4 linked regions of the Diceros bicornis minor genome follow. The protein of the gene in region 1 purifies or fractionates together with the protein of each later gene. This does not show direct contact. Links are inferred from orthologs where the notes say so. Each region holds a gene or a part of one and is shown in the gene's direction. Other genes may lie near its edges.

Evidence for each region.
Region 2: the proteins of PHLPP1 (region 1) and SUGT1 purify together in Homo sapiens (affinity purification with mass spectrometry; 5 studies listed by BioGRID and IntAct, with this or other methods). This does not show direct contact. The link is inferred for Diceros bicornis minor from reciprocal best matches to the Homo sapiens genes PHLPP1 and SUGT1.
Region 3: the proteins of PHLPP1 (region 1) and USP1 purify together in Homo sapiens (affinity purification with mass spectrometry; 6 studies listed by BioGRID and IntAct, counting the BioPlex papers as one, with this or other methods). This does not show direct contact. The link is inferred for Diceros bicornis minor from reciprocal best matches to the Homo sapiens genes PHLPP1 and USP1.
Region 4: the proteins of PHLPP1 (region 1) and USP12 purify together in Homo sapiens (affinity purification with mass spectrometry; 4 studies listed by BioGRID and IntAct, with this or other methods). This does not show direct contact. The link is inferred for Diceros bicornis minor from reciprocal best matches to the Homo sapiens genes PHLPP1 and USP12.

Annotation. Positions count from the first base shown.
Region 1 is NC_080755.1:53,316,414-53,323,803, forward strand, and holds the start of PHLPP1 (PH domain leucine-rich repeat-containing protein phosphatase 1), read left to right. Parts: upstream 1-4,382; 5' UTR 4,383-4,453; coding exon 4,454-5,987; intron 5,988-7,390. UniProt on the Homo sapiens protein: Protein phosphatase involved in regulation of Akt and PKC signaling.
Region 2 is NC_080748.1:35,358,499-35,366,145, forward strand, and holds the start of SUGT1 (protein SGT1 homolog), read left to right. Parts: upstream 1-4,644; 5' UTR 4,645-4,720; coding exon 4,721-4,758; intron 4,759-4,849; coding exon 4,850-4,907; intron 4,908-7,647. UniProt on the Homo sapiens protein: May play a role in ubiquitination and subsequent proteasomal degradation of target proteins.
Region 3 is NC_080743.1:1,996,181-2,004,127, forward strand, and holds the start of USP1 (ubiquitin carboxyl-terminal hydrolase 1), read left to right. Parts: upstream 1-4,934; 5' UTR 4,935-5,444; intron 5,445-6,533; exon of another isoform or gene 6,534-6,721; intron 6,722-7,081; 5' UTR 7,082-7,150; coding exon 7,151-7,320; intron 7,321-7,947. UniProt on the Homo sapiens protein: Negative regulator of DNA damage repair which specifically deubiquitinates monoubiquitinated FANCD2. Also involved in PCNA-mediated translesion synthesis (TLS) by deubiquitinating monoubiquitinated PCNA.
Region 4 is NC_080748.1:10,498,872-10,506,414, reverse strand, and holds the start of USP12 (ubiquitin carboxyl-terminal hydrolase 12), read left to right. Parts: upstream 1-4,533; 5' UTR 4,534-4,679; coding exon 4,680-4,727; intron 4,728-7,543. UniProt on the Homo sapiens protein: Deubiquitinating enzyme that plays various roles in the regulation of the immune response and inflammation.

The DNA of each region.
Region 1 (7,390 bases):
TAGGCTTCCTTAGAAGAGGTATTTTTGTCTATACTATTTACTGGGTGTAAACGGTGCCTATGCATAAAAGTTCAATAAATACCTGTTAAATGAATGTCCCTGGTAATTTACATTGTTACCAGAAATGGTGGGATTACATGGTCTCTATTTCTTGGTTTAATACTTTATTGTCGTGACATAGAATACATCTATTTATTTCTGTGAGACAGGATGTGACAAACAAGAAAAAGACAAAGAATTATGGGATTAAAAAGTGTGCACTAAAATATGAAAAGCTATCAAGCCGTATCTATAAAGCAGACTACCTAAAATGATAGTGGCAATCTAAGTTCTTGATGGAGTTCAAATGATAAGTTATGTGAGGGAGGGGTAAGGCTTTAGAGAGCCCAGAAGGTCTCATCCTGCAGTGAGCAGGGAACATATGAATTCAGTTTGGCCACCTGGGGCCCATTTAGTACACTAGAGCAGTAATTTGCTAAATGAGTCCCTCCTAGTAAAAAAGCATGAGTAAATAGTGAGCAATTTAGGCATGGTAAACCACTAGTAGCTCAAGGGATACAAAAATGTGAAACTATAATTAGATTCCTTGTTCATAATGTACTAACTAAATGTATTACATTGTATATTGCATCTTTCTGAGTTTATTTCTGGACACAGCTGAGCCCTTAATAATTCAGACTGAAACCATCCCAGCTATCAATTTATGTCTCCATTAAAATTCCGACTGCTTATATTAGAAAAAAATTCCAAAGATAGTTTCTTTTATCTTGGATCTAAGGACGAAAACAGGATTAACCTAGATGCAAAACACAGCAAGTCAGTTATAAATCACACAGCATAAAATAAACTGTGGCAGTAAATTGAAAATGATGTTCTCTTTTTCTATACTTAGCTGTGAAAATATTTTAACAAGTTGGCATCAGGGTTTGCAACTTTTACATCTGTTGTTTCTTTTCAGGATTATCTTTTAGCATTTTAAGATGTGATTCTTTGGAAAGCCTGGCTAGTCAGAAATGTGGTATTAGATTGTACATTTGGAACACTTCAAAGGGTGGGGGCATTCATGAGCTAGTTACATGGTTTCGGGATACTAGCCTATTCCTCACCCTACTTTTAAGTAGGAGAAGCTGCTGTTTCATGAGTGTCTGGAAAACATTTGTCCTCTACTGAAATCCTTTCTTAGTCAGAGAAGTTGTATAGTGGGTTGACTCAGATGGTCTGGATGATGTTCCACAATACTAGCAAGTTCTTAGTACAAGTTTCACTGGCCTTATCAATATCTGTTATTTCAACTACAAGGTTCCAGTTGATGTGGTGTTAAGGGGACTAGCCTATTCTTGACGAACTCTCATTTTCTTTCTCTCTCTCCTCTCACGCCCAAGTTTAGTAATTTCATTAAAGATTTGAAGATGGAGCAAGGGATGATCTCACAGTGGACCCTTGCTTTTCTGCTCTCCTCTCAACTCTGATTTTTATTATTCTGGATACAATGGAATATGGAGTCTTTCAGATTATGGACACTACGCATGAAATAGTTTCTCTATGCAGAAATTATATTCTACTTTCTTGCCTACCCCCCGCCCCCCAACACACTGTCCTTTGAGGCTGGAATGTATTTCATTTTTCTTCATGTTGAGATACTTTACCATTATTAATTATTTCTCTCCTCCTCCCAACTTAGAAATCCCCCGTACCAAGTCTGACAGGTGTGTATGATGACTCCCCAACCCCTCCCCCCTCCAATACTTCGGGTACTAAGTTCTCTGAGCAATGCTTTTTCTTTAATTTTTTTCCCCTTTGGAGGAGGTGTTTTGGTTACAGATACCTTCAAAGAGTAAACAAAATTCCTAGAGGATAAACAGGCAGAGTCATGGTGACTGTGTAAAGCTAAATGACAGGAACCAGGGCTAGATTAAGTACAGGAGTATAATTTCTTAGAGAGGATGCAAATGGACATTGGGCCAATGGTGACAGTATTTATGATTAAGAACAAACTTTCCTTGAGTTTGTTACATTAGCTAAAGAAATATAACTCTAGAAAGCAGATATTTGGGAGTCAATATATGTTTCTTAACATAGCAAAAATTAAAGAGGTTTGTAGGAAATCAATTAAGGAACTAACAAATACAAAGAGATATAAACAGCCCATGTTTTAGTACCGAAATCTAACATGCTCTTTGTTTTTTAATCTTATTAAAGGAAGGCTAAATTAAAATACCATTCTTTTCATTTCTAAAACTAATAGTTTGTTTAGGGGCCACTCAAGGCAACATACGGATTAGCGTAGTTGAAATTTATCTTTAATATCTTACCTCTTTCTCTGCCTCTTTGCTTTCTTTCAGAGACCAATTCTTCATCAAGTACTCAGTTTCATTCCTTCCAGAAAACTTCATCCAAAGTTAGGTCTCTGTTGTCTGACTTCCTAGGCTAGGTCAGTTCCCCTTGTTTTATTTTTGTCTCTGTCCATGGCACCTTCTATTTTCCCCTCCCCTACATCCCTCTCACTTGTTGAATGTCTTTCTTCCTAATCTATAAACTCTATGAAGGCAAGGACAGTGTCTGATTTATTCAACTGTTGTAACATGGTGACTGGTATATAAAATGTTTATAATTATTTGTTAAATTAATTGACTCGACTATCGTATCTCTCTTGAGAGAATTTGCATTCTCCCGAATTTAAAAAATAGAACTTTGTGCTGTTGATGGAATTGAGATGGAATAAAAATTAATTTCATGAGGCCAAGAAGTAGGGCTTCAAAAAAAAATATACAAAATCATTTTCAGAAATTTCAAGAATCAAGAGAAATATTTATTTTTTTGTCCTACCAGCTACCTCCAATTCCTCTTCAATGAAACTATGTAGATAACCTAAGTATGACTTGCCTTGCCTTTATCAATTTCTATTTCAGTTACAAGCTCCACTTTATCTCTCTGTCTTTCTCTCTCCTTCCTTTCTTCCCTCTCTCTCTTTTTCCCTTTCTCCCCCACTCACTCCCAAGTTTAGGAACTTTAAGTTAAGACAGGCCCTGGATAGTATGCAGTTGAAAAATTTCACATTTCAACAAGTCGAGGTAATGGTAATTCAATGAAAAAGGCTTATTAAATTCTTTTAAATAGTAAACTACCCTAGTCTAGCCTACAATATTGTTTTAACTGACAAGAAAGAGCGACTTTTCAGACCACAACGAAACATTGTAGCAGAAAATAATTTTTTTCTGAAACAAAACACAAGGGAAGACCTAAAAGAGAACAGACAGGACCAGGCCATCTCATATCCCACCATGTCTCCATTCCAACGTATCTTCCACTTTCCACTGCTTTCCGTGTCATTAAGTTACTTCAAACTTTAAGATCAATGGGAAAAATGCCATCCCAGCCCTTTGCCTTTTTCCTTCTCCGATATGAGGGAGAGGATTGGCTCGGGGTTGCACGATTTCCACCAAGCATATTCAACAGTGGTCCAAGTCAGAATTTCCAGACACTGCCTGTCTTCCCAGGCCTTAAAAAAGTGGGGGAAAGGTGAGGTTGGTCCGCTTCGACGGCCAGTTATCCCGCGGTGCGCTGTCTGTGTATTTATCTCTCATACAATGGGTCGGGGTAAGGACCAAAGACTGGAGACCTTTGTATCGCTTACAGTCCCTCAAAGCACTCGCTTTCAATTACCAGGAAAAACGAAAGTCTTCTGGGGAGGGGGAGTGGGCGAGTTGGTTACAAGTTAATGAACAAGAACATTCCCGGGCACAGAGTTCAACAGCAGAGGGCACAGTACACACTGTCCACCGCCATCGGCTGGATGCAAGGAGGGGCGTAACCTAAGGATCTCTGGGGCTTGTAGTTCCCCGTCTTTCCCTCAGGCATGCCCTCTGCGCACTAGAACTACAACTCCCAAGGTGGACCGCGCGCACCTCTCTTCTCTGTCGCCCCCTCTCTGAGGCCCGTTCAGGAACCTCCCGGGAAACTGCCCCGCGCCCCTCCCTCGTACGCACGCGTAACGTTTGTTTACCCTGAAGTCCCGCCTCCTCGCGTCCTCCGGCTCTTCCCACTCCTCCCTGGAATGCCGTCATGCTCGCGATGCATATTCATGAGGCCTGCGTGGAGCTCCGCCCCGCCTGCCTCCCGCTTTCCCGCTCCCAGCACGTGATTAATATTCAATAAGCCCAGCTTCGCGGCTGGTTCGCCGGGGTGAGGTGGGGGGAGCGGGCGGGGCCTGCGCTCGGGAGCCCGCGACCGGGGCGGCGAGGCCGGCGGGCGGGCGCGCGGGATGGAACACCGAGACACCGACGGAATGCTCCGAATTGCCACATAATCCCCTGGAACGGCCGCGCCGAACGCCATTGGCTTCTCCCTTCTCCCCGCGCCGCCGCCGCCGCCGCCGTCTCCCACCTTCGCCTCTCCGCCGCCCTCTCCGCCCGCTGCCTCCGGAGCTGGGGGGGAAACGCGAAGCCCCACTGCAATGGAGCCCGCCGCCGCGGCGACGGCGCAGCGACTCCCGGAGCCCAGCGGGGAGGACCGGGCTCCGGCTCCGGCGGCGACCGCAGCGGCCGCGGCGGCTCTGGCGGCGGCGGCTCTGGCGGCGGCGGCCGGCGGCGGCCGGAGCCCGGAGCCCGCGCTGACCCCGGCGGCCCCGAGCGGCGGGGCGAGGGAAGAGGCCCCCGGCGAGGCGCAGCCGGGGCCGCTGCCGGGCAGGGCGGGAGGCGCGGGGCGCAGGAGGCGGCGCGGCGCGCCCCAGCCCACCGCCGGCGGGGCTGCCCCGGGGCCGGGGGCCGGCGGCGGCGCCAACTCCCTCCTGCTGAGGAGGGGGCGGCTGAAGAGGAATCTGTCCGTGGCCGCCGCCGCCTCGTCGTCGTCGTCCTCGTCGTCGTCGTCCTCGGCCGCCTCGCACTCCCCGGGCGCCGCCGGCCTGTCCGCCTCCTGCTCGGCCTCGGCGTCGCTGTGCACCCGGAGCCTGGACAGGAAGACGCTGCTCCTGAAGCACCGGCAGATGCTGCAGCTGCAGCCGTCGGACCGGGACTGGGTGAGGCACCAGCTCCGGCGGGGCTGCGTGCACGTCTTCGACCGTCACATGGCCTCGACCTACCTGCGCCCGGTGCTCTGCACGCTGGACACCACGGCCGGCGAGGTGGCCGCCCGCCTGCTCCAGCTGGGCCACAAAGGCGGCGGCGTGGTGAAGGTGCTGGGCGCCGAGCCGCGCCCCGACGCCGGCCCTCGGCTGGCGCCCGCCGAGCCGCGGGACTTGGGGCCACCGCCCGGGCGGAGCGGGCTGCCTGCTGTCGGGGGCCCGCCGCGCGCGCCTCCCGCCGACCTGCCGCTGCCCGGCGGCCGCCCGGCCGGGTGGACGCGCGGAGCCTCCCACGCCAGCCCCGCGCCCTCGGACTCCAGCCCCGGCGAGCCGGGCACCCCGCGGGCCTTGGACGGCGCGGCCGCGGGCCCGGCCTCGGACACCGAGAGCTTCAGCCTTAGCCCCAGCGCCGAGAGCGTGTCCGACCAGCTGGACCCCTACAGCAGCGGCGGCGGCTCCTCGTCGTCGTCCGAGGAGCTTGAGGCCGACCCCGCCCCGGCCCCGATGGGGTCTCCGGTCCAGCCCCGCCTGCCCGGCCGCTCCGTGCAGCCCCGGCCCGGAGCGGGCGCCCGGCCGCCTTCCCCGACGGCCTCCCCGCCGCCGCCGCAGCCGAAAGCCCCGAGGGGTGTTGACGGCCCCGCCGGGACCGCCCGCGATCGGCCTCGGGAGGAGAAGGCGACAGCAGCTGCAGCCCCTGGCCGCTCCCCGTCGACCCCGGGTGGGACAGGGGCCACCGCAGAGAAGGCGCCGCCGCCGCCTACCCTCTATGTGCAGCTCCACGGAGAGACCACCCGGCGCCTGGAGGCGGACGAGAAGCCATTGCAGATCCAAAATGACTACCTCTTCCAGCTGGGGTTTGGGGAGCTGTGGAGGGTGCAGGAGGAAGGCATGGACTCGGAGATCGGCTGCCTCATCCGCTTCTATGCAGGTAAGGAGCTCCCCTGCGCCTTGGGGGGTGGGTGTCAACACTCAGGTCCCCAGAAATGAGGCAAATTGGCCGTCTGGTGGCCCAACCCAAGAGTAAGCGCAGGTCCTCCGGAGTCTTTGTTACTTTTGTACAGCTTTCGCGTAGAGTCTGTGCAATACTAAGTTGAGCAATTTTAGAATCCGCGAGTTGTGTCAATCTTGAGGGCTCAGAGGTTGGGAAGTGAGGTGAAGGAGGTGGCAGAAGCACCAGGAAGTAGGGGAAGCATAGACTGGAAGAGGCAGTGGTCCATTCAACAATGAAGGTGCTGCCTTTGGGCCGGTCCTCATGGGCATGTTGGGTTTGAGGCAGTCTGGGATTTTCAGGTAACCTACCATGTTCACATAGTACCGACAGAGGGAAATGACCAACAAAAACGCCCTACAACTGTCTCCCTACATTGGCCTGTCCCCAGTTGCTATTCCAGCTGTAACATACCCCCCCCCCAGCAGCTCGTTCCTTGTCACCCGGTGCCCTCGTTCAGCTCTCTGTCAGTCTTATTTGCCCGTTTAGTCCTCGTTAGAAACCTAACAAATATGATCCTTTTTAGTGATACTTTTCCCCAGCTCTTTTTTGCTTTATTTCAATCTCCTCTGCAAGTTTCATTCTTGCATTGAAAGTGATTTTGCCTATTTCTTTCTCATTTCTTATTTTCAGCCTTTATAGCCAGAACTGACCATTGCAATGTGACTAGGAATAGGGATCACACTAAGACTTTAAGTGGTTACTGTCTCTTGAGATGTGAAGTCCTTCTCATTCTTTTTTCAGTTCTAGATTAAAATCCTTTTTTGTTTTTCTGTTATTTATTTATTCCAGCTTTATTGAGATATAGTTGACATAGATCAAATTCTTGACTAGAGGTGACTTGGCAGATACTAAATTAGGGAGCTATAGAAGCTGGTTGTTATATTTGAGCGTTATAAATTGTTTGCATCCTTTTCCTGCTCTGGTTTGAAGAATTATCTTCTTAATGATAAGGAATTTTATTTAAAATGAAGTTAGTATAGCAAAATTAAATCAGACGAGTTATATCTTCTCCAGCTTTACTATTCTAGGTTGTAGGTGATGGTGGAAAAATAATCATACTTGTTACTTCATTAATCTGTAGCTATTCCTTCTAATTTAATATGTTTTTGGTACAACTTGTGTCTTACTGGCAGTTTAGTCAGTTTGAATGAAGAAATCTTTACTCTCACAATGAAATATGCAAGACCAGTAGAATTCCTGGTGAGATGTTCTTTTAAGTTTCATTGAAGTTTTTCTGTAATTCAAGTGGATTTCTGGTGGATTTTTACCTTGTAAAGAAAACTGTATCATAATACGATAGCTTTTGCAGTATCTGAAGATAATGTACCAACTGAATGACA
Region 2 (7,647 bases), on another chromosome or scaffold:
AAGCGATAGATCCATTTGAGAACTGATATCTTAACAATATTGACTCTTCTGATTCATGAACATAGAGTGCCATTCCATTTGTTTAGGTTTTCTTTAATTTCTCTCAGCAATGCTTTGTAATTTTCAATGTATACATTTTGCACATACTTTATCAGATTTATTTTTCAGTGTTTAATATTTTTGATGCTATTGTAAATGTCATGGTTTTTTAAATTTCAAATTCTGATTGTTGCTGATTTTGTTTTAAATTTTCCCCTTCCTATTTTATTGATGCATAAAGTGCACAAATCTTAAGTGTACAACTTGATAAAATTTTACATCTGAATACATTGGTCTAATTACCGCTCAGATCAAGATATGTAACGTTTCCCACATGCAAGAAAGCTCCGCATGGCCCTTCCCAGCCACATGATCACCCTCTGATGTCCCTCAAAATAGTTTTTTTATCTTTATATAAATGGAATCAATCAAAATATACTGTCTGGCTTCTTTAACTCAACATTTTCTTTGTAAGTTTCATCCATTTTTTTTTTCTTTTCCTTTTTTATTGTGGTAACATTGGTTTATAACTGTATAAATTTCAGGTGTACATCATTATACTTCTATTTCTGCACAGATTAGTTCGTCCATATTGTTGTGTGTACTGGTAGTTCTTTCTTAATCACTGCTCTGTAGTATCTTTCTCCTATGAAAGGACATTTAGGTTATTTCCAGTTTTTGCTACTGTGAATAATGCTGCAATCAATATTCTTGTATATGAACATAAGTACTCTTTTCTCTTGGGTACACATCCAATGGTAGAAGTATTGGGTAAGAGAGTATTTGTATGACTAGCTTTAACAGATAGTGTCAAAAAATTTTCTCAAGTAGTTATACCAATTTATACTTCCCCCAACAATATATGAAAGTTATAGGTTCTTGCTCCATATCCTTGCCAATGATTGGTAGTGGAATTCCTTTTAATTTAACCATTCTGGTGGGAGTGTTATGATTATGAATTATGATTTTAATATCCCTGTATAGCTATTGATGTAGAATTTCTTTTCAGATGCATATTGGCCATTTGGAGAACATTAACATATTAAAGAAAAAATAAATATGAATATTTCACTAAATAAAGAAAAAGCATTTCATATTGTTTTCTCCTGATGTTACAACCAAGACAGGAAGTCCATTATCATTACTTCTATTCAACACTATAGTAGACATCCTAGCCAGTGACAGACAGCAAGAAAAAGAAAGAAAAGGTATAATCATTGCACAGGAATACATTAAACCATCTTTATTCAGATGACAAAATTGTGATCATAGAAATTCTAAAAGAATCTACAAAGTATTAGAAATAAGGGAATTCAGCAAGATGGCTGAATATAAGGTCAATATGTAAAAATCAGTAGTGTTTCTATATACTAGCAACAAACAAGTAGAGTATAAAAATTTTTAAATGTCGTTTAAAATAGCATAAAAAAATTAAATACCCAAGAATAGATCTAATGAAAGATATGTAAGACCTCTACAGTGCAATCTACAAAACACTGCTGAAAGAAATTAAAGACCACTTAAATAAATGGAGGAGTGTATAATATTCATGGATTGGAGGACTCAATATTAAGACGTCAGTTTTCCCCAAATAGATCTTTTTTTTGTGAGAAAGATCAGCCCTGAGCTAACATCCATGCTAATCCTCCTTTTTTTTGCTGAGGAAGACCAGCTCTGAGCTAACATCTATTGCCAATTCTCCTCCTTTTTTTTCCCCAAAGCCCCAGTAGATAGTTGTATGTCATAGTTGCACATTCTTCTAGTTGCTGTATGTGGGACTGGCCTCAGCATGGCTGGATAAGCGGTGCGTTGGTGTGCGCCCAGGATCCGAACCCAGGCCGCCAGTAGCGGAGCGCGTGCACTTAACCGCTAAGCCATGGGGCCGGCCTCCCCAAATAGATCTATAGATCCAATGCAAGCCTGATTAAAATCTTGGCAGGGTTTTGTTTTTTTGTTGGAAATTGACAAGCTCATTCTAAAACTTATAAATTGAAATAAATTTTATAAAATGTATAAAATATTGAAAATGCAAAACACTTAGAATAGCCAAGGCACTCGTGAAGAAGTTACAGGACTTGGGGCCAGCCGGTGGTGTAGCGGTTAAGTTCGTGCACTGCGCTTGGGTGGCCCAGGGTTCATAGGTTCAGAGCCTGGGCGTGGACCTATGCACCGCTCATCAAGCCATGCTGCTTATACAAAATAGGGGAAGATTGGCACAGATGTTAGCTCAGTGACAATCTTCCTCAAGCAAAAAGAGGAGGATTGGCAACAGATGTTAGCTCAGGGCCAATCTTCCTCACAAAAACAAACAAAAAGTTACAGGACTTCAAGACTCATTATAAAGCTATGTTAATTAAGACAGTATGGTACCGTTACAAGGTTAGACACAGACCAGTGGAGTGAGAACCTGGAAATAGACCCACATATATGTGGTCACCTACTTTACAACAAAGGAGCCATAAGAATTTATGGGAGGAAATGATAAATCAAAGACTTTGCCAACACCATTCCTGGCCATGGAGGCATCATGGATCGCTTTGACTGCCAGTATCTGATGGCCACCTTTGTCAATGTGTACATCGCCAGTTTTATCAGGGGCCCGAATCCGAGCAAGCTGATTCAGCAGTTCCTGACCTTGCTGCCAGATCAGCAGCTCCACATCTTCAACACGCTTAAGTCTCACCTAACCGACAAGGGGATGTTGATGGCCGCCACGGAGGATGAATGGGGGCCACGCAGGGTCGGGAGAGCAGGAGCAGGACCCAGCGAGGGGCAGGGCTCCAAGGCAAGCCCAGCTGTGTGACGTAGACAATGACAAGGCTTCAACTCACTGTCTTTTTTTTCCCCAATAAGTAGGGCTGGGTCAACTGCATATCCATACAGAGGAAAAATGAACCTTGATCCCAACCTCATACTTTCACAAAAATTAATTTGAGATAAATCACAGACCTGGAGTTGAAAGATAAAATAATAAAGCATCTAGGAGAAAATACGTAAGAATATCTTCATGGCCTTCGAATAGGCAAAGCCTCATTATAAATGATACAAAAAGCACTGATCATTAAAAAACAAAGGATCAGCAAACCCAGATACTTTTACTTCAAATATTTCTGTAATTCTTACCTTCCTCTGTATCCCTGACCTATTTAAGAGAGTCACTTTGGCCTGTAATACAGCCGTTGTCTCTCAACAACTACTCTCCTTTTCCCTTTAATCATTCTTCCATAGCACAGAGAGAATAATATACTTAAAAAATGCAAATTTGACTTATTGCCTTTGGTGATTAAAAATCCTTTAATGGGTTAGCATAACTCAGAGAATAACATCCAAGCTTCTCAGCAGACCAGACCACACCTAGCCCTTTATGACGTGGCATTTACCTACCTCTCCAGCCAGTCTGCTTCCAATATGAATTTTGGCTCTACCAATTTTAGAGTTCCCATTATCGTTTTCTAACTCACACCCTGTTCTGCCTGCAATGCCTTTTCCATTTCCTTCACTAATTCTAGTTCATCCTTCCAGGCTGAGGCTCAGGTATCATATCTTTGAGGAATTCATCCCTATACCTTATATTGGGCTAATTTAGCAAGGGGTACCCTCCTTGCCATCACGTGACTATTCCCCTTTTTTCATTTTAGCAGTTAGAACTGGTTTAAGTTTCTGGAGGGCATTAACCTCTTTGAATCCCTGGGCTTAGTTTAGATTTTGGACATAGCAGACACTCAAGTTCATTTACTTGTTTATCTCTACTGACCGAGCCGCTTACTCCCACTCCCTTCTGTTCTTCCACGTCCGTCCCAGGGAATCTGCTGGAAGCTTCTATTTGATCTGCATGGATAAAAGGGCGGTGAAGGAGGGCCTGACCGACTAGGTTGGAAAGGAAAGCAGCACTCAGACAACTTCAGGCCACCTTCCTCCCTTCAGCGCCTTGGGATGGTACAGGTTTTTCTTTTCTATCTGGGAAGTCAACTGGGAAGCAAAATCAGTCCATCTGGTCCTGTGGCGTTCTGGGCAATAAAACAGTACACCCGCCCCGGAACCAAAAGGCTTCCTTCTGGCTAGTTTCTGCAAAGGCAAAATGACTTCCGGCGAGTCCTAGTCCCTTATGGGTCCCAGCGCAAAGATCCCGGATCGGCGCGCAATCCGCAACTGTGCTCCCGCAAAAGAATACGTAGCAGCGAATGACGTCACGGGTCACGAAAGGCTTGGCTGCCTCTGGTCGCCATGATGTGCACTGTGGTGAAAATGGAGCTCTACGTGCCTTGTGCTATTAGCTGGCACACAAACGCACCAAACGCCACACGTTCCAGAGGGATAACAATACGTTCCAAATGCGCTTTTGAGCTATTCCCTCGGAAGGCTCTGTGGGAGGGCGGACGCGCGAAGAGGAGGGAACGTGAACAGCGGAGGCCTCCGTAACCATGGCTGCGAGGGGCGGGAACTGGGAGCGCTGGTCACGAGACCGGGGGCCGGGCCGGGAGACTTGGTCCTCCACCGTCCCAGCCGGCCCCGCGCCTGCTTTTCGCCTCCCCTTCCGCCGCGGTACACTGTGTGGCTGCTCGTTGGCTGCTTAGGACGGAAGCGCGGTTGGTGTTTCTCCAGAAGTTTCCTCCTTGGGCGGCGACGAAGCTGTTAACCTCTGTAGTAGCAGCTCCAGCTGCAGTACCCGTGAGTGTTAGGGATGGCGGCGGCTGCAGCAGGACCTGCAACAGCCCAGAGGTGCGTGCTTTTTCTTCTCTTTGCTGTGTATTTTTATCCCCTTTTTCTCCTCGGCTAGTGAGCCGTGCTGAAGTCGTTGTTTTCCTGGCAGGTTTTTCCGGAGCTTCTCAGATGCTCTGATCGACGAGGACCCCCAGGCGGCGTTAGAGGTGAGAGAGCCGGTCTGAGCTTCCTCCACCCTCCTTAGGGGAACGCGGCCGCGACGGGTTCTGGCCGACCCCGCCTCTTCCCAGCGTTGCCTTTCTGGGACTCGGGCTGCCGTTTTCCCTGTGTCTCAGCCCTAATATTGACAGCCTCCGCCTCTCCTTTCTCTGACCCACAGTGGCCCCGTTACCCTAGATCCCTCTTCTTGTCCCCTCTTACTCCTAGACCCTTCCTGCATCCTTGCAGCTTCTTAGAAAGACCTCTGTTTCTTGGGGGCATAGTTGACATCCATAGTTGGCCTGAAAGGGTTTTTCTTTTTTTTTAAATGGCATTTGTGACGACGAAAAAGTGAAATCTAGGCTTGATGATACTTGTTAATTCGGTTTTTCATTTGACCATCGTTCTTGCCATTCTCACGTACAGGTGCTGTGCTAAGTGCCTGTGTGAACTCAGACTACTGGAACAAAAACCTTTTCCCGTATGTCCCTGAAAAGTTCCAGATGTCCTGTCACTATTCATTACGCACTCATTTGTTTATTCATCGAAACAATATTTTGGAAGTTGCTGTGTGCAAGGCACTGATTGCTATGGATTAGAATCTCCTTTATGTATTTAATTGACTTACACAGTACTTTGTGTGCAGTGAAAGGCTGTAGAGCTGTAAAGGAAAGTATAAGAGCAAGAGTAAAATACTAATTAAAAGTAATAAAGAGAATCTAAACTGAGGATACATGATGCAGTGGGTCACAAGATGTAGCCAGAGGTTTCTTGCTTTGAAGCACAGAAAAGAGGAAACCTTGTTTCCTTGTTACAATCTAATATAGGCAAGGTTAGCAATTTGAGTTAGAGAACCATTTTCCTAGTTATGACTTCTAAAAGAAATTTGCCACGTGGGTAGTAGAGTCTCTCTGAGGAGGTGACATTTGAGCAGAGACATGAGGGAATGAGTTCGGAAGCTCTGGGGAAAGAGCATTTCAGGCAGAAAGAAGAGCCAGTGCAAAGATCCTGAGGTAGGAATGAAGTTGGCTTGTACAAGGAGCAGCAAAAAGGCACATTTAACTAGAGTGGGATGAAAGAGGAGTAATGGATGAGGTGTGGAGGAAACCAGGGGCTAGGTCCCGTAGGGCCTTTTAGGTCAGTGTGTTTTTTGGATCTGGGTATTTAGGCCTTCAGTTAAAGTCGTTGGTTAGTCAGTTGTGCTGTGATGTTTCCTAGTGAGGCTTCTGGGATCAGTGTTAGAATAATGTTACAGGAGGCACTGAGAATTTCTTCACAATTCTTTTTTTTTTTTAATAATTTTATTTATTTAGTTATTTGTTCCCCCAAAGCCCCAGTAGATAGTTGTATGTCACAGGTGCACATCCTTCTAGTTGCTGTATGTGGGAAGTGGCCTCAGCATGGCCGGAGAAGCGGTGCGTCGGAGCGCGCCCGGGATCCGAACCCCGGGCCGCCAGCAGCGGAGCGCGCGCACTTAACTGCTAAGCCACGGGGCCAGCCCTCTCCACAATTCTTTACGTCAGCTAGACAGCTATTAGTTTTCAGGATCTATGTTTGTTATGGTCCTTTTAGGCCCAATTCCTCTTTTGAAAATACAGTTTATATGAAAGTTGCTTTTAAAGGATATTAATGTAATGAATTTCATTGTTACTTTCCATCTCACTTATTTTACTTTTTAAATTTGTTTTTTGAAGTATGATAGATGTAAATAACACAAATCTTAAGTCTGCAACTAATGAAGTTGTAGTTTTACATACGTGTTTACCACCCAGCTGGATATAGAACACTTCCATCCTCAGAGCTTCCTCTTGCCTCTTCCCAGCCAATAATTCCCCTTACCCACCAGGTGACCCCTATTCTGGCCTCCATCACCATCTGTTAGTTTTGCTTGTTATTGAACTTCATATAAACAGAATCATAAACTAGGTACTTAGTTGAGTGTGGGTACTCTGTCTTGCTCTAAACATTATGTGAGGTACATCCATATTATTGTGTGAAATGGTAGTTCTGTTACTATATAGTATTCCATTTTATAAATATAGCACTATTCTAGTAATGGATATTTGGGTTATTTTTAGTTATTAGCTAGTATGAATAAAGCCACTGTGAATTTTCTCATGTATTTTGGTGAACACATGCACTCCTTTCTTTTGGGTGTATATAACTAGGAGTGAAATTGCATAGAGTAGGAATGTGGTTAGCTTCTGTACCTTGGTTCTTAAAGTGTGGCTCTTGGACCAGTAGTATCAGCATCACCTGGGGACTCATTAGAAATGCAAATTCTTGGACACCACCCCCGGCTCCCCCCTCCACCTCCACCACCACCCCCCCCGCCCTCCCCCCCGCCCCGTCTACTGAAAGTCCTTATGACTCCTGTAGTCCAGTACTCCTTACCCATCTGTTTTACAGAAGAAAACAGACCCCAAGAAATCCAGGTGATCTGTCATAGAGATGTATACTGCCAGTTAGAGGCAGAATGGGAGCCTTAGGTCACACGTTTCCTGACTCTTAGTCTAGTACTGTGGAACAGTGGTTCTCAAAAGTGCAGTCCCCATACCAGCTGCAGCAGCATCATCTGGGAACTTGTTAGAAATGCAAATTCTCAGGACCCACTGCAGACCTGAATCAGAAACTGGTGGTGTGGAGGATGATCATGATAAGAAGCAGCTGTGTTGAGGAAATGTTCTTTTTAAAACTTGAGATGACCTTCTCAGAAAGATGAACAGGTAAATGTTAATTACTAAATAA
Region 3 (7,947 bases), on another chromosome or scaffold:
ACATGCTGGCTAGGTCTTGCACCTTCTTTGGGGAATAGTCCTTGACCTCCATCATCAGGCACAGCACCTCCCAACTGGGTTATGCCATGACGTAACCCTAATTACAGGCCCAGTGGCCAGAAAGCTGGTGGAGGGGGTGTGGCTGCTAGGGGAGAGAACATGTTGCCTTCGTTAGAAGCCTCTGCACAATCTTCCAGCATGGGAAAGTGAAGCTCTTAGTGGGGAGGGGCGAGCCACACTGCAGGCATCCAAGGGGCCCGAGGAATCAAACTCTTCAGGAGCACCACCCAGATGTCCCCTCCATGTCTCAGAATGCTAGATCTTCTCAACCATGGCCCTCACTTTGGCACAAAAACCTGCCATTTGGGGCAGAGTGTCTTTCAACCACTCTGAAGCTCTGGTCTTGGTGCTCGGCGTTCTCCCTCTCCCTGCTGATGAGAGCTTCTGTGAGCGACAGAGGTGCTCTGGCTTTCACACCTGACCAGCAGTTGCCTATCACCCACCCTCAGCTGTTCATTATTCTTCTGTAACCAGTGGCGCTCAGCAATAGCCATCCAATTCTATTCCCTTATCGCTGTTACTGCCACACATCTCAAGAGCCTGATACATCACAACTCTAGTGTTCCCTCCCACCCGGCACACCATCTGAATCGGACCACCACCTCGTGCCAGGGGCTGTCGGTGCCTCACCTACAGCCAGCCAGGTGGCCCATAATCCAGCTCCCAGCTTATGCCCGCTTTCTCCAACCAACCCCGGTACCAGCTGTGGCAGGGAGGGTTTTCAGGAAGCAGACGCTGGAACAGAGCATACAAGATGAGGAAGGGAGAGGAAGCAGGACTGCGCAGAGAACGAAGTCAAATTCCAGCACAGGTCCAACAAGGCTTTGGCCGACTGCCCAGGAGCTCTGGAGTGAACACAGCATATCGGAGGCGCCCGGTGGCAGGCCAGAGCGGCTGAGCCTTTATATCCCAGGCTTGCTGAATCACCCGGTGTAGGCTTCCCTGGACAGGCATGACCTTGGGCAAGACCCTGAGGAGCTGACAGCTGGAGGCACACCCTGCAGCTTGGGAACAAGTCCTTCCCTGAAGGGTGATCTGGGCAGCACATCTCCATATCTGCTACTAGGGAAACAGAAATAGCCAGCACATTCTCTTTCCCAAAAAACCAAAAGACCTACTTAGTCCTTTTTTTATCTTCTGCTCCCCCAGCTAGGCAAATCTTTTAATCAGGTAAGGGGAAGCATAGCAGAGAATGCTATCTGCCCCCTAATATCCGTTCTATCTTTCTTCCTTGACGACCTCTAATTGGACATATGGGGACCCAGAATCAAGTTAACAGTCTGTTAACAAAATGACCTCGCTCTGACCCATGGGTTATAAGCAAGAATGGGGTTCACAACTTCCAGGAAGTATCCTTAAAGGGAGGCGGCGTGATCTTTTTCCTTTTCTCTTTCCTGCTTATTAGAATGTAGACATGATGGCTGGAACTTAAGCAGCCATACTGGACCATAAGGTAGAAGCTACTTGTTGAGAATGGAGGTAGTAATTAGGTCCCTGATGGTCACGGAATCACTATACTCATCTAGACTCCTATCTCTGCACTCTATGTGACAAATAAATGTTCATCTCGGCTAAGGACACTTAAAAAAATATTCTGCTTCTCATAAATCAACCTATTCCTATCTGATGCAGAACTTGATCCCTATAAATTTGTGCTGCATATAACACAACCTTAAAAGAAATGTGGTCGTGGCTTAGTGGAAGCATTTGGGCAGTGGGTGGTAAGGACTCAGATATGGCAAGATGGAAAACTGGTGACCCTTGTTGTCCAGCGGCAAGGTATTTGTGGCATGAAGGGAAATAATTGGAAAAATTTATAAACTTGGTATTTGGTGGCTTTTTCTTGCCACTTTTAGCAAAGTTCTATGAGAGATGAACTCAGGCCAGAGCTAGCTGATCTGCAAGTAAGGATGGAAAGGAATACAGCTTTGCTAAGAGGGGAACTCTGTCTGTAATCTAAGTGGATGAAGAATCCCATAATCTGGAGCCTTAAATGGCTGAAAAAACCCAGCTACTTCTACACCTCTAAATTGAAGCACGCAGAAACAGCATCTGTGAACAAAAGCCTTGGAAGGAAATACGCCTGACACGCAGCCACACACGGCTGAGAAATACGGAGTAAGAATGCTGCCAGCCTGTTAGACCCCTTGTGCAGACGCCCCCAAGTGAGCGGTCATCACGAGTGAGGTAGCAGCACACAGATGCCAGGAAATGAAAGGTCAGGTCTTTGGGCTTAAAGACTGTATTTGGTCAAGACTGTAGCCCTAACTTCCCCCACACAGAACTGAGCGAAAGCAAAGGATCAGAAACCTTTTAACTTTTTGCATGAATTACGTTGCCGGAGACACAGCAAGCCTGACATGCATCCCTGTGCTACCGCTGCTGCTGCGCCCAGCCGTGTGGAGCTGGTTATTTCTGAAGCAGCACAAGCAGGAGTCTCAGTGCCCCGCCACTGGGCCCGTGGCCCTGACAGGCAGGACGCAGCACACGCATCGTGCGGGTGTAGATCGCAGTGGGTGGAGCGTGCAGCTTTCTGACGGTCGTGGTTTCCTGGGCACTGCCGGAACAGCATAGTTCAGAAGTCATCATTTCCTGATCGCAGAAGGGTCACTGCTCCCTTGGTGGCCTCATTCCTGAAAATCGAATCTTAGGTCTATTTAATCCACATTCCTAACTAAGCATTCACTACTCTTCATGCCGATACCAAGGGAATGGTTTCTATTCTCTGTAACTGAACCTCAACTGACACTATAAATCGTACAGGAAGAATAGCAGCTGCAGACAACAGGATCTCAACTGAGACAGGAAAGCTAGAATAGGAAACTAGAATTGGTTACCTGTCCTGGCAGAGTCTGAAAACGGCAATGACTCTGCTAGGACTACAGAAGAAGACACTCCAGTCCGTGGTACACAATGGCAAACTCGGGGACTGACTATCATTATATTTCTAATTCTGCCCTTGTCTGTTTGGGGTATCAACACTGTACTGGTCTCAAAATAAGCTTTCTATTTTGCTCTCAAATAGGAATTATCAATCCCTTGAAAGTATGGTAAAAAAACGAGTTTTGAGCCTATTTTACCAAATGATAGCAGGATTTTCTCTTTAGGCAGCTTACAGATCGCTGTGCGTGTCATGGTGTGATCAGGAGCTTTATAAGTCTCACTCTTACAATGGGTATTTGGCATGGATATTGATTCTAAGATGGACAAATTAAGGAGCAGTTATTTGGATTTATGATTCGTGGCTTGACAAGGCAAGAGGTCTCAATGCCCTGCAGACTCTGGAGCATAAATATTATCACTCTACGTGATTTCTTACAGTCTCATGATTTTACACACCATTTCATGACTCCCCAATTTACATCCCCTGATCTAAATTCTCCACTGAGCTTGAAACTTGCTATCTCCTGGCTCCACGTCACTATTTGCATGTGAAATAGGCATCTCAATCTTAATGTCTAAAAACAACAGCCCCTCCCACCAAAGCCACGACTACCCCAGTGTTCCCCATTTTAGCAAGGACCAACTGCTACCCAGGTGCTTTGGTAAAAGAAAAAAAAATCCTTGTCATTTTTATCTTTTTTTCTACAATCCATCAGCAGGTCCTGTTGGGTCTATTTAAAACACATTCTGAATCCCACCAGTTTCCAACATTTCCCCTGCTGCCACCTCATTCCAAGCCACCATGATTTAGTCCGTGGGTGGCACTTTTTAAGGTCCACAGTCTACCCACCACAGCAGCCACTTGACAACTATCACTCTCTACCTCAAAGCCACCCAGGACTCCCATCTCTCTCCCCGCCGCATTCTCAACGGCACATTCTCACTCCTAGCTCACCGCGCCCCGTGCCCCGCGCACCTAGACCTCCTGCCCCAGTACGCGCACACCTAGACCCCCGTGCCCCCGAACCTAGACCCCGGGCCCCGGGACGCGCGCACCTAGACCTCCTGCCCCGGGACGCGCACACCTAGAACCCGTACCCTGGGCCCCGCGCACCTAGACCCCGGGCCCCGGGACGCGCGCACCTAGCTCACGGGAGCCCCAGCACCAGGCCTGCTCCTCCCAAAGCCGAGCGTCGAGCGTGAGGACGTGGCCGGACCATCCGCTCGGACGCCACGAGCCGCTGCGCTCCTGAGCCCCGCTCCGGTGCGCCCGGGGGAGCGGCGCGGCCTGGGGGACGCGGGTATCTGAGGGGGCGCGCTCCCCGCGCTCCGACGTGTGACCGCGGCCAAGCGCTGCCTGCACGCTCCGCCCCCGCGGGCGGCGGACGCACGCCCTCTCGCCGCGTCCCCGGCCTCGGGGACGCCCGGCCCCAGCGGGCGCCGCGAGCGCGGACCGGACGGCGCTCTGAGGAGAGCGGCCCCGGCGCCCATGTCCGCGCCGGCGGGGACGGGGACACGATGAGGGCGGAGGCGGGGGCCCCGCCCTGCGGTGCTCGGCCGGCAGCGTGCCCGTTTTTACGTGTGGCCCCGCGGCGCGAGCTCCTAGGAAAGCGCGAGCGCCCGGCGGCGTGCCGCCGTCCTCCCAGTCTCGCCCCGCAGCCCCGCCCACGAGCGGACGAGAAAGGGGCGGGGCCAACGGCGAAGGCCTCACCCGGAAGCGGGACTGAACGCCGGCAGCGAAAGCGCGCCCTCGAGCGCCAATGAGAGCTGGAAGAGGGGAAGCGCGCCCGTCCTTTCCCCTCTTGTTATTGGCTGGACTTCCTTCCCCGCCACCCAATTGGCTTCCGCCTCGTTACTTCTGATTGGCTCCTACCAGGCAGGGGGGCCGGGCTTGGGGGCTCGTCACCACGGATTGGTGGATTTGAGCGCCGGGCGGCTCCTCCCGAGCGAGCGGCCCGGCCCAGCGTGCCTCTGTCCCGTCTCCCGACCCGTACGCCGTCCTCGCCTCGCGCGCACGAATGGTTAAAGTGGAAGAAAAACAGCGCAGGGCGTGAGCTCGAGCCCGCCCGCACGGCCGGAGCGGCGGCGCGCCCTCGGAGGACCCGCGGCTGCCCGCGGCGCTGCCTGCGCGGCGCGGTGGCGCGGAGCCCGGGGGCGGCCGGGGGAGCGCGGCGTCCCCCTCGGCCCCGCCGTCCGCGCGTGCCCGGGGCGCGATTGGCGGGCGCGGGGCGGCCCCGGCGTCCGGCGTGGGCGCGGCGCGGGCGGCGGAGCCGGCGCGCGGGCAGGCCGCCCCTCGGGGCGCGGCGGGGGCGGCGGCGCGGGGTCCTGACGGAGGAAAACGCGCCAAGTTCCCGTCGGCGGGGCGCGGACCCGGGACCCGGCGGCGGCGGTGGCGGCCGGGATGTAGGCGGCCCGAGCGGCCTCCCGTGCGCACGGTGCGGCCGGCCTCCCGGTCGGGCTCCCCGCGGACCCCGCCGCGCACCTGCGTGGGCCGCGCCCAGGTGAGGGCCCGGGGTCCCCGGCGGGCGCTCGGGCGTCCCGGCCGGCGCTGCTCGCCGTCGCCGCGGCTGTCCTGGAAGTTCGCGGGACGCCACGTGTGGGCGCGCGCCGTGGGCCCCGGAGCGGGCTGTGCGGTAACGCCTCGGGCCGGGCGGCGCGGCCGAGGAGCCGCGGCGGGCGGGCGGGCGGGGCGGCGGGCCGTGCTGGGGCGGCCCCTGCTTCCGGGGAGCGGGGCGGCGAGGAGGGGCGGCGGCCGGCCGTCTGGGCTGCTGGGTCGCCCCCGCGTGCCCGTTCCGCTGCCGTCCGCGGACGACCCCGTTCCCGTCGTCGTGAGGCGGCCGCGCGCACGCTGGGCCCCGGCACCGCGGGCCGGGCCGCCGCCCGCACTCGCGGAGGGAGGGCGTCGGTCAGCGCGCCGCTGCCCCGAGCCGAGCCCGGGTCGCGCGTGCCCCGGGCGGCGGCCCTTCGGGCGGCTCTGCGTCCGCCGAGCTTGGGGCTCTGAGTGAGCCGCTGGTGAAACGCCGCTCGGCTCGTTGGCCCCGACTTCCTAACGGAAGAATAGCAGCGCGGTGTAGAATAACTACCGCCGAGACTGCCATTTTTTCCCTCCGTCCAGAAGTTTCTTACTCTAAAGCAGGAAAGAAAGGTTGCAACAGGCAAACTAAATTATCTTTTTCTCTATTCAAAGCAATATATTTTTTTAAATCTGTAGTTTAAAGAAATGTTTGGAAAATCAGTGTATTGTGGTTTCTAGTGCATATGCACAAAGTGCAGCAGTTTTTTACACCGCCATCCCAGCTGACGCTTTACTACTTTCCACTCAAGTTTTTAGGTACCACTGAACACCAGATCTGTGTCTTTTTTGTATGCAAGTTACACTTTGAAGTTTTTAGAGATTTCATTTCATGTATTCATATTATCAAGGAGGAAAGGTCTAGAAGGAGGACTTTCAGCACTCCTTTGATTTCCCATTCATTTGTCTGTCTCCACCTCCTACTTTATTATTTTTTGTGAGGAAGATCAGCCGTGAGCTCACATCCAATGCCAATCCTCCTCCTCTTTTTTTTTTGCTGAGGAAGACTGGCCCTGGGCTAACATCCGTGCCCATCTTCCTCCACTTTGTATGGGACGCTGCCACAGCATGGCCTGACAAGCGCTGTCTCTCTGTGCGCCTGGGATCTGAACCTGTGAACCCCCGGCCGCTGCAGCGGAGCACAAGAACTTAACTGCCTGCACCACCGGGCGGGCCCCTGCACCTCCTACTTTAGAATTAGCGATGGTACTTGCTTGTTAATATTTTCTGAATGAATTAATTATAATAAAAGTTGAGTTTTTACTAAATACTACTACTTTATTGCAGGTTTACAAAAATGGGGTATTTTGTGATGTGACCCTTAATCTAATAGGCTAATCAAAGTTCAGTATCTGATATTTTTTGTTGTTTAAGAAAGTTAAAGACAAAGGGCAAGCTCCTTCATTTAAGCAGTAAACATTGAGTGCCTATTACTGCCAGGCACTAAGTTTTCAAACATGAAGATCTAGTTAGTAACATTCGTTGGTAAATTTGTTTTCAATATTGATTTTTTTGCCTACAGCTGATAACTGAAAACTAATGAAAGGTCTTCTCTGTGATTAACAGATATGATTGTTGATTACAACATCCCTGCATAAATTAATTCTTGTCAACTCCTTGGGATTTGAAGAGAAGATGCCTGGTGTCATACCCAGTGAGAGTAATGGGCTTTCAAGAGGAAGTCCCTCAAAGAAAAACAGACTTTCCTTGAAGTTTTTTCAGAAAAAGGAAACTAAGAGAGCCTTGGATTTCACAGATTCTCAAGAAAATGAAGAAAAAGCTTCTGAATATAGAGGATCTGAAATGTATGTATCTAACTTTATTTCTGTACGTTTTAGACTCCGCATCAGTCAAGAAACCGTGGACTTGGATTGGTATCTCTAGACACTGACCTGATAGTCCACAGAGACAAGGAGAGAGCACACGCTAGTGTGACCGGTCTAGCAGTGTGCAGCAGAAACAGCAGAACTGTGCTTCCCCACGGGCATCTCACCCATGACGTGAACTCAGTTCCATTGGGCTCAGCCAGTTAGACTAACCTGGAGAAATATTTATTGACTAGAGTTACTTTTCAGTTTAAACTTGATTGTAGTGCAACACATTTTGTGTAAGGGTGAAGAAATAGGTGATGTTTTTTGGTTCAGAAGACTTGACAGTTACCTGAGATGTTTAAGCTTTGTAGTCATACCTAGTATATGAATTACCAGACCTGTTGGGGTGTACAATTGCAAATTATATTTAAAATAAAAATAAGAAATGCTTTTGATGCAAATAAATCCTTCGGTGACTGAAAAGAAGTCAGAACCAAACGGAGTTTTTTATGCCACCCATAGTTGGGTCTCTTTGGAGTTTCCACTAGCTGCCTGTTCAGCAGATAGGCACTCTGCTGTGCGACTCAAGTGGATGAGGTCCCACGTGTAATCTCCTAATAT
Region 4 (7,543 bases), on another chromosome or scaffold:
CCAGAATGGATCATGCTTGTATCCAAGGTTGTCCGTGCGTTCTACACTTTATGTCTCTCTCTCTCTGTTCTCTTCTTTTCACAGAAGAAAGGGGTGGCTAATGATAGCATCTGAAAAGGTGTCCCCTTCTCAAGTTAAGCTCAGCAACTTCTGAACTTGTTCCAAACAGCTGAATGATTGCATCCTCCTCCCCAGCAAGTGGGTAGTCTCCTCTAGTCAGACCTTGCTAAATAAAGAGCTAAGTACACATAGAAAGTATTCTGGCTTACTTCGGCACTCACCAGAAGTCAAGGTTTTCTCCCCAGTTATAGACCTGTTAGTTTGATGTCTCCTTGAAATTCTCTGCCATGTTTAGTCTGAACAAATTGCAGGACTGGGAATCCAAATTAAGATTATGAAGAACGAGGAACAGGTTTTAAGGTAGGCTGATACTACCATTTATTAGTGATGGGGATATGACAGTAGAGATCCCAGAGACCATGAGCTTTGCTGGTGTCACTGTGGGTCACAATGCCCCCTTAACATTCCACACTCTTCTCCAAACTCCCTGCAACATGCCTGTGCTGCAGCCTTAGACATATTCCAGGCTTCCTCAGTGTCTGTGCGTGACTTTCCCTCTGCCCCAGAGACCACTGCCTTCCCCTCCCCCATCACTGTTCATCCTATTCTTCCAGTTGGTGAAGCTGCCCTCAGCTTGTCCCCCCTGCAGGTAGAGCTAGTCCCACCCCACTTAGAGCTGACAGCAGTTGGTCCTTCATTTTATCAGCTCATTTTCCATAAAAATCATCTGTCTACCCCAATGGACTGTGTGCTCCCTGAGGGCAAAGATTTTTCTTATTCATCAGTAGGTGATCAACAGATACTTGTTTTAATGAACGAACTCAGATTTCAGTTTTAAACAGAGTATAATATGGCTATGCCTTTGGTCCTTCTCTTTTAAACCTAGATTTAAATAATGACAAAGTTTTAGATATATTAGCTATACACCATCCTCCCCAGCAAATCAAAGTCATACATCCATTGTGCAGATGACTCGACTATCCTCTGAACGGGAAGTCAGCCTTGAAAAGTCAATCACTGGTCTGTTGATTCAAACCAACAGAAGAACATCACTGTGTTGATTAACATCTACCTCTGGACAGCTGGATGATGTTAATTAAAGCCACCAAGAAGGTTGGTTCATTCAGCTGTCAAAGGGCAGGGGAAAGAAGGGGAGAGATCATGAGTTTCACAGTCAGAGTGTGTGAGTGTGGACCGTGCTCTGCACAGGCTGAGCAGCGTCATGGTGAAAGTGGTAAAATGAGCATGGATGATGGAGCTCCAGGGGCACTGGAAGGTTACATTAGAGAACGCATCTGAAGTACTAATTAGGTGCCTGGCACACAGCAGAGGCTCATTCAATCTGAGGGCATAAACTGACAGCCTGAGGGCTGTGTTTGCCCACTCTGACTTTAAAACTGTTGACTTTGGCCATTCAGAGCTCTCCAGTTTGTGTTGAGTGATGGGCACTATTCTAAACACACCTCCATGTTTTATCCTCGTTACACCCCTCTGAGGTAGACATAATCATTACCTTTATTTTCCAGATGAGGAAACTGAGACAAAGAAATACTATTTGAGTATATTTTATAGCTAAAATCTGCATGTGGGTCCCTAAGGAGTCAGTGCCTCTCAACCTCATCCCACTAGAATCAAAATGAGGTACTTGAACACGAGCTGGTATAGCAGAGTGGATGCAAGTGTGGCCTCTGGAGCTAGGTTCAAATCCTGGTTCCATCGCTTACTAGTTGTGCAACCTTGGGTAAGTTATCTCTGTGCCTTTTCTCACCTAGAAAATGGGGAAATACGTCACTGGGTTGTTATGAGGACTTCATAAAATGCTTGGTGCACAGACAAGTCCTCAATAAGCACTACCTGTCATTATGGATGTCTTACGCCCCCGCCCCACACTCCCCCCAACCCCCACAACACAGGCATTTCAGTCATTTCTGTTAGCTGGTACAAAACCGAATTCCTTCAGGGAGAAGAGAGGTGGCAGAAACACAAGAAGTGACGTGTGGTTAACGGGAGACAGGATGAGTAACAGAAAACATGAAGCGGCCTGCGAGGAACTGGACAGTACAGGATTGTGTAAAAGTATTCAAATGAATCAATTTTAAAACAGTAGGCTGACCGAATGGATTAAGCTTGGCCCCAGTTTGTTTACTTCCTCAGTCCATGAAGTTATCTGAGTATATTTTGTAGTTTACCCACTCAGGAAGGCCCAAAAGAAGTCAGTTGTACACAAACCCATCTTTCCCTAGGCACAATGAAGTTCTTTGTAAAACTGATACAGTTGCAGGTAAAAGCTGTGTTCTAAGCCCAGATGACCTATTCCCAGCTCTGGGTGCAAAATGTGGTGTTGCAGCCAAACCTTATCTTCAACTGCATTACATATGGTAAAACCCCCAGTACAGTGCCCAGCACACAGAGGAATCTCTCTTACGCTCATGCCTCTTCAGTCAACCTTAGGCTCAGGACACGAGGCATTGTGAGGTTCTGCAATTAGGATCTCACCTGCAAAGTTAGACAGCTATAACACCAACTAGACACAATTCCAGATAATTCTATTAGAAATCCATTTTAAATAGGACTCATTCTTCTATAAACTTATGTGTGAAGCTGGTGGCCTCTGTTCCTGTGACTTTTTAGGATTCACAGACAAGGAGGCATGTTGGTGGGCAGCATAGACGGAGGCAGGGCTCAAATTCTGGCACATTAGACCTGTTTGCTGGAACAGAATAGCAAGTGGGGAGGACAGGATGACAACAGACATTTATCCAAGTAGGTGAGACAGATAGGATCCAGGGCCGTGGTGACACTGGTATGGGGCCCAGGCAGGCTCTGGAGATCTAAGCAGGATGGAACACAGCAAGAAAGAACTCAGGTGGGTGATACTTCTAAGTCTAGGGAGGGCAACAGGGAGGCAAGCACTCCATACAGCTGAATGTGTGGCAGTGAAGCACATGGTCCTAGCCACCCGCTTGGGTATCAGGGCAAAGAGGGAGGGCCCCAGCTTCCGTGGAGGCAGGTGCCTGGAGAACCAGGACAGCTGCTCTGGGACTTGGCTATATTCTATTTGCAATTTTTTTCCCCAAGCAAGCTTATAATGGAAATCACTATGGAAACAGCATTCATGTACCAGAAATCTATTTTTCACCTAAATTTTATTTGAATGCTGTGTTTTGTTTTTTGAATGCTTTGAATCTGTGAGGTAAGGCATATCTGATTTTGGAGCTTTGTCTGAATTCAGGCCCTCAGCCCCACTGAAATGGTGGAACTCCAAAAAGCACCCCATCATTACAGTTCACCAATTGAGAAATACCACAAGCTTTCTAACATAATAATTTATAAAGTTATTCTACTAGCTTGAACGACTTTCTCAAACAGGAAGAAATCAAGCTAAGCTGCCTGACACAAAGAGCAGGGTGCAATGAAGAATTTTACAAACCTCGAAAAGAGGGGCTATCCCACTAGCTAACACTGGGTTAAGACTTTCTCACAGTACGTTTTTCTCACTTGCGAGACTTCTTGTCTCTGGTAATATCATCGTCACTGCTGAGTGCAAATCTTCCCTATTTTGCAACTCAACTTTAAGAACAAATATACTTAGATACTCTATTTATAAACATTTTCTAAATTTATGGCCAAAAGGCAGGCGGGAAGGCAGCTTCGTCCCTCTGCTCCATTACTTACCTTTCTTCTTAATTCAAAGAGCTAAACATACATAGTTTCTTATCTCTTTCATTTTTATTCTATTAATTTGACTTTCGCCGTTATGGTGTTTTGACCCAGGTGATTCACCCAACATATGTAAACAGAAACCACTTTACATTTTAAGTGTTTGGGACATTGCATTACCCGGGTTATTTTAACCTATTTTAACCATATAGAAGCAGGTTTCTTTCCACCGCTCCCAGAATTATCCAGACCATGGTCTCCGTTTTCGTTTCGAAGTGGGGACTAGCTGTCCCCGCGCCTTCGGCAGAGGCTGCGGGTCAGTCCCTTCCAGCATTGAACCAGACGGCTGCCGCCTACCCTGCAGCGACTGGAGCCTCCCCCGGGGCCCCTCTCGCAGCCAGGGCTGAGTCGGCCCACGGGCTCTAGGACCGCGAGGGACGCGGGCAGGAGGCGGCGCCCGCCGAGCCCCCGCCCCGCTCGAGCTCGGAGTGGGGCGGGCGCCGGAGTTTCCCGGCTCGCGCGCTCCAGGGCCGGGGCGGCGTGCGCAGGGGTGGGCGGGGCCGCGGGGCCGCGCGGCCGGTGGGCGGGGCGCGCCGCGGGGCCGCGCCGCTGCCGGGCAGGCCGGGCATTAGGGCCCCGGCGGAGCCCGCTCCCCAGCGCGCTGGGCGGAGTGTGCGGCGGGCGGCTTCGCGGGCAGGCGCGGGCCCCGAGGCAGCGGCTGCGCCCTGCGCCGGGGAGGAGCCAGGGGCGGGCGGCCGGCAGGCGGGGGCTGGGGCCCGGGGCGGGGAGTGCCGGAGCGCCGGGGGTGACGACGGCAGCGGCGGCAGAGCAGGCTCGGTGCGCGGGTCCGCGGCGGCTCGGGGTCCGCCCGCGGGCTGCGGTGCGAGCGGGCGGCCCGGCTCCCCTCCTCCCCCGCCCGCTGCCGCCGCTGTGATTGGGTGGAAGATGGCGCTGGGCGGATGGAAATCCTAATGACAGTCTCCAAATTCGCCTCCATCTGTACCATGGTAGGTGCGTCGGGAGGGCGGCCGGGGACGGCCGGGACCCCCGCGGGCGGGCGGCCGGCCGGCCCGGCGGCGCAGCCCGGGTCTCCGCCCGTCCGCCGGGCCGCCCGCGGGGCCTAGCGCGGGGCCCCGCGGCCCGGGCGGGGGGCGGCGAGGCGGGCGGGGGCGGTTGGACGGCGGCGGGCGGGCGGGGAGCGCGGGGGATGAGCGGCCCCGGGAAGGGGCCAGGCGTAGGCGAGCCGGCGCGGCGCGAGGGTGACTAGCGAGGGGGTGGCCGTGCTGGACGTGGCGGGGGCGGGCACGGGGCCAGCGCCCCCGGCCGAGCGGAGAGGCGCGGCGCCCGGGGGCTGGAGCGCGGCCCGGGCTGGGGTCGGAGGGGGAAGGACGCGGGCGGCGCGCTGTCCATTTCCGTCCGGCGGTGCGCCAGGCGGGAGGGGTCCCTGGGCCGGGATGGGGGCTGCCGGCCGGAGGCAGGGTCTCGTTCCTGCCCAGGAGAGGACGGAAGTCAAGTGCACATTTTCTCCCCGCGCCTCTGGCGAGGCCGAGTCCCCCACCCGCTGCTGAGGGGAAGGGGGTGTGTGTGAAGGTGGAAACTTTAAATAAGTGCTGTTGAAATTTTTCCCATCTTCTACTCTTTCTCAGAGGAACGAGCTCTCCCTTTTCCAGCCATGTGTCCAGGTGGCAGTCTTGTCTTTGGGAATCCACGTTAATCTTGTAAAACAGCTTAAGCTTTCCTGTCGTTTGTTTACTTTAATACCCCAGCCACATCTCTGTGTGGCTTAAAGTATTTCTGTGCAGGAACTGACTGCGAGGGTTATTGTGTGTGTTTTATTGGGGCTTTTAAATAGACTTTAAGGGAAAAGTGCTAATGCCTGTCGAAAAGTTCCGATTTAAGCAAAACGTGCGTGCGTTTCAATCTTGGTGTTTTTGTGCTTGGCCGGAAGGACCACAGTCTTCCACACGATGGGGCAAATTCGTTTCGTTAGCTCCTTAATGAGCTTACGTCTAGGGATCATAATTATGAGCCGTCACAGAAGAAAGTTATCCTTTGCAACGTGGGCCTAGTGATTATGCTATTAAAGACTTCTGAAATCTTTCCTTCTGTTTTATGTCTTACTAGCCCTTTTTATGCACCCGATTGCATGTAGGAGATCCCCAAGCAATCTTCGGTTTAAGGGCGGTACATTTTATGTATCTTTATATGCGTATATATACATTTATATACCTATATATACATTTTATATACTTTAAGGAGTGGTGAATCAGATCGGAAAGATGGTTTAGAAGCAAATTCTGTACTGCACGCAGAGGGACAGTATAAAAAATGGCTGAAATCAGGTGGGGTTAAAATCTACAGTATTAAATCATATTGAATGGATCATTGAAGACTTCCATTTTCCCAAATGGATGTTTGTTTTTTTTCTCACAATTTGCATTTCAGGAAAGCATTGATATTAAAGGGACTATATTAAAAAGATTGCCAAGGTTCATTTGGATTATTTTTAGATAAGCCAATTATTAATCTGTTTTAAAAGGAATGTGATAATTAAGTCTTTGAAAGTGCTGATCTTGCCAGATTGCTGAGCTGCACAGATTGTCAGGTCATAGTTCACTGTGGGAGTCTGGGGTTTCAGGAGTGATGTGTCGTTCTTTACTGACCAGTCTTCCACTCCAGTATGTCAGGTATACTTTTAGCACCTACTGAGTGCTAGAGCCTGTGCTGAGGATACAGCAGAGATCAGGACAGCCCTTGCTTTCATGGTGTGTACATTCTAGTTGAGGGAGACAAACAATATTCAAGTAAACTTATTAATAAATATAATATGTGCTGTGATCAGATTAGGAAAATGAGGCACAGAGAGATTTGCTAAGTCAGACACTGAGTAAGTGGGGTTCTGATCTCGAGAGTGTCGGACTCCAAAGCTCTTCCTTGGGCTTCCACTCAGGTGCGTTAATTGTATGTGGTGTGTGTGTATTGTTGGCAAATACAGAAATATCTGCCTGGCCAAATGAGATTGTTCCAGAAGTAGTGTTAAAATTGGGTGTGTCTATATTCATATTCAAATAAATTCTAATGTGCTCCCAAAATAATGCTAAACATCTCAAAGTAATGTGCAGTCTTTTCTTTCAAGAAAACTGCAGCTCATCTGAGAATTACAAAATTAACAATCAAGAAAAGCAAAGATATTTACCTCCAAGCCTTGGTAGATGCTATTTTTCTAGGCTGTGAGCGCCCCCCTCACCCTTGTCTGGCGAGTTCATGCCTCTGTCTCAAGCAGGGAGACTGACCTGAATAATCCCACCCTGTCCATCCCCATCTTCCACCCCCCTCATAGAATTTCACAGCATTTTTGTAATTTTGGTAGCTCTTAATCATACTTACTGTGTTGTAAATTTTTCTCTTATCGCCTTATTGGATTCTGAAGGCATTAAGGGGAATGACTATCGTTTATTTCTGCGGTTTGGTGGAGCACTAACTACTGCATACAATAACAGAGTTTCCCAGAGTTCTTCATTCTCCTCCTGGCTATCTGAGGGAAGTGAGTTTGGTTAAGCATGGATGAGATGGAGTGGAGAGGAGAGAAGAGGGCTGAGCCTAAATAGAGTGATGCTTCTCAGAGAATCAGCAGCTGTGAAAGCGTGGATGATGAATTGGAATTAATCAAGTTTACATAATTTTTTTTCATTTGTCAACGTAAGGTACGTGGGCAAATCAGCGATATCTTTATTGGGTTGAGTAACTCTGTTCAAGGCAAATCTCTTCAGATATGTCTTATTCTAGATCACTGTTGTTCTGCTTACGTGTGAAAATTAGTAAT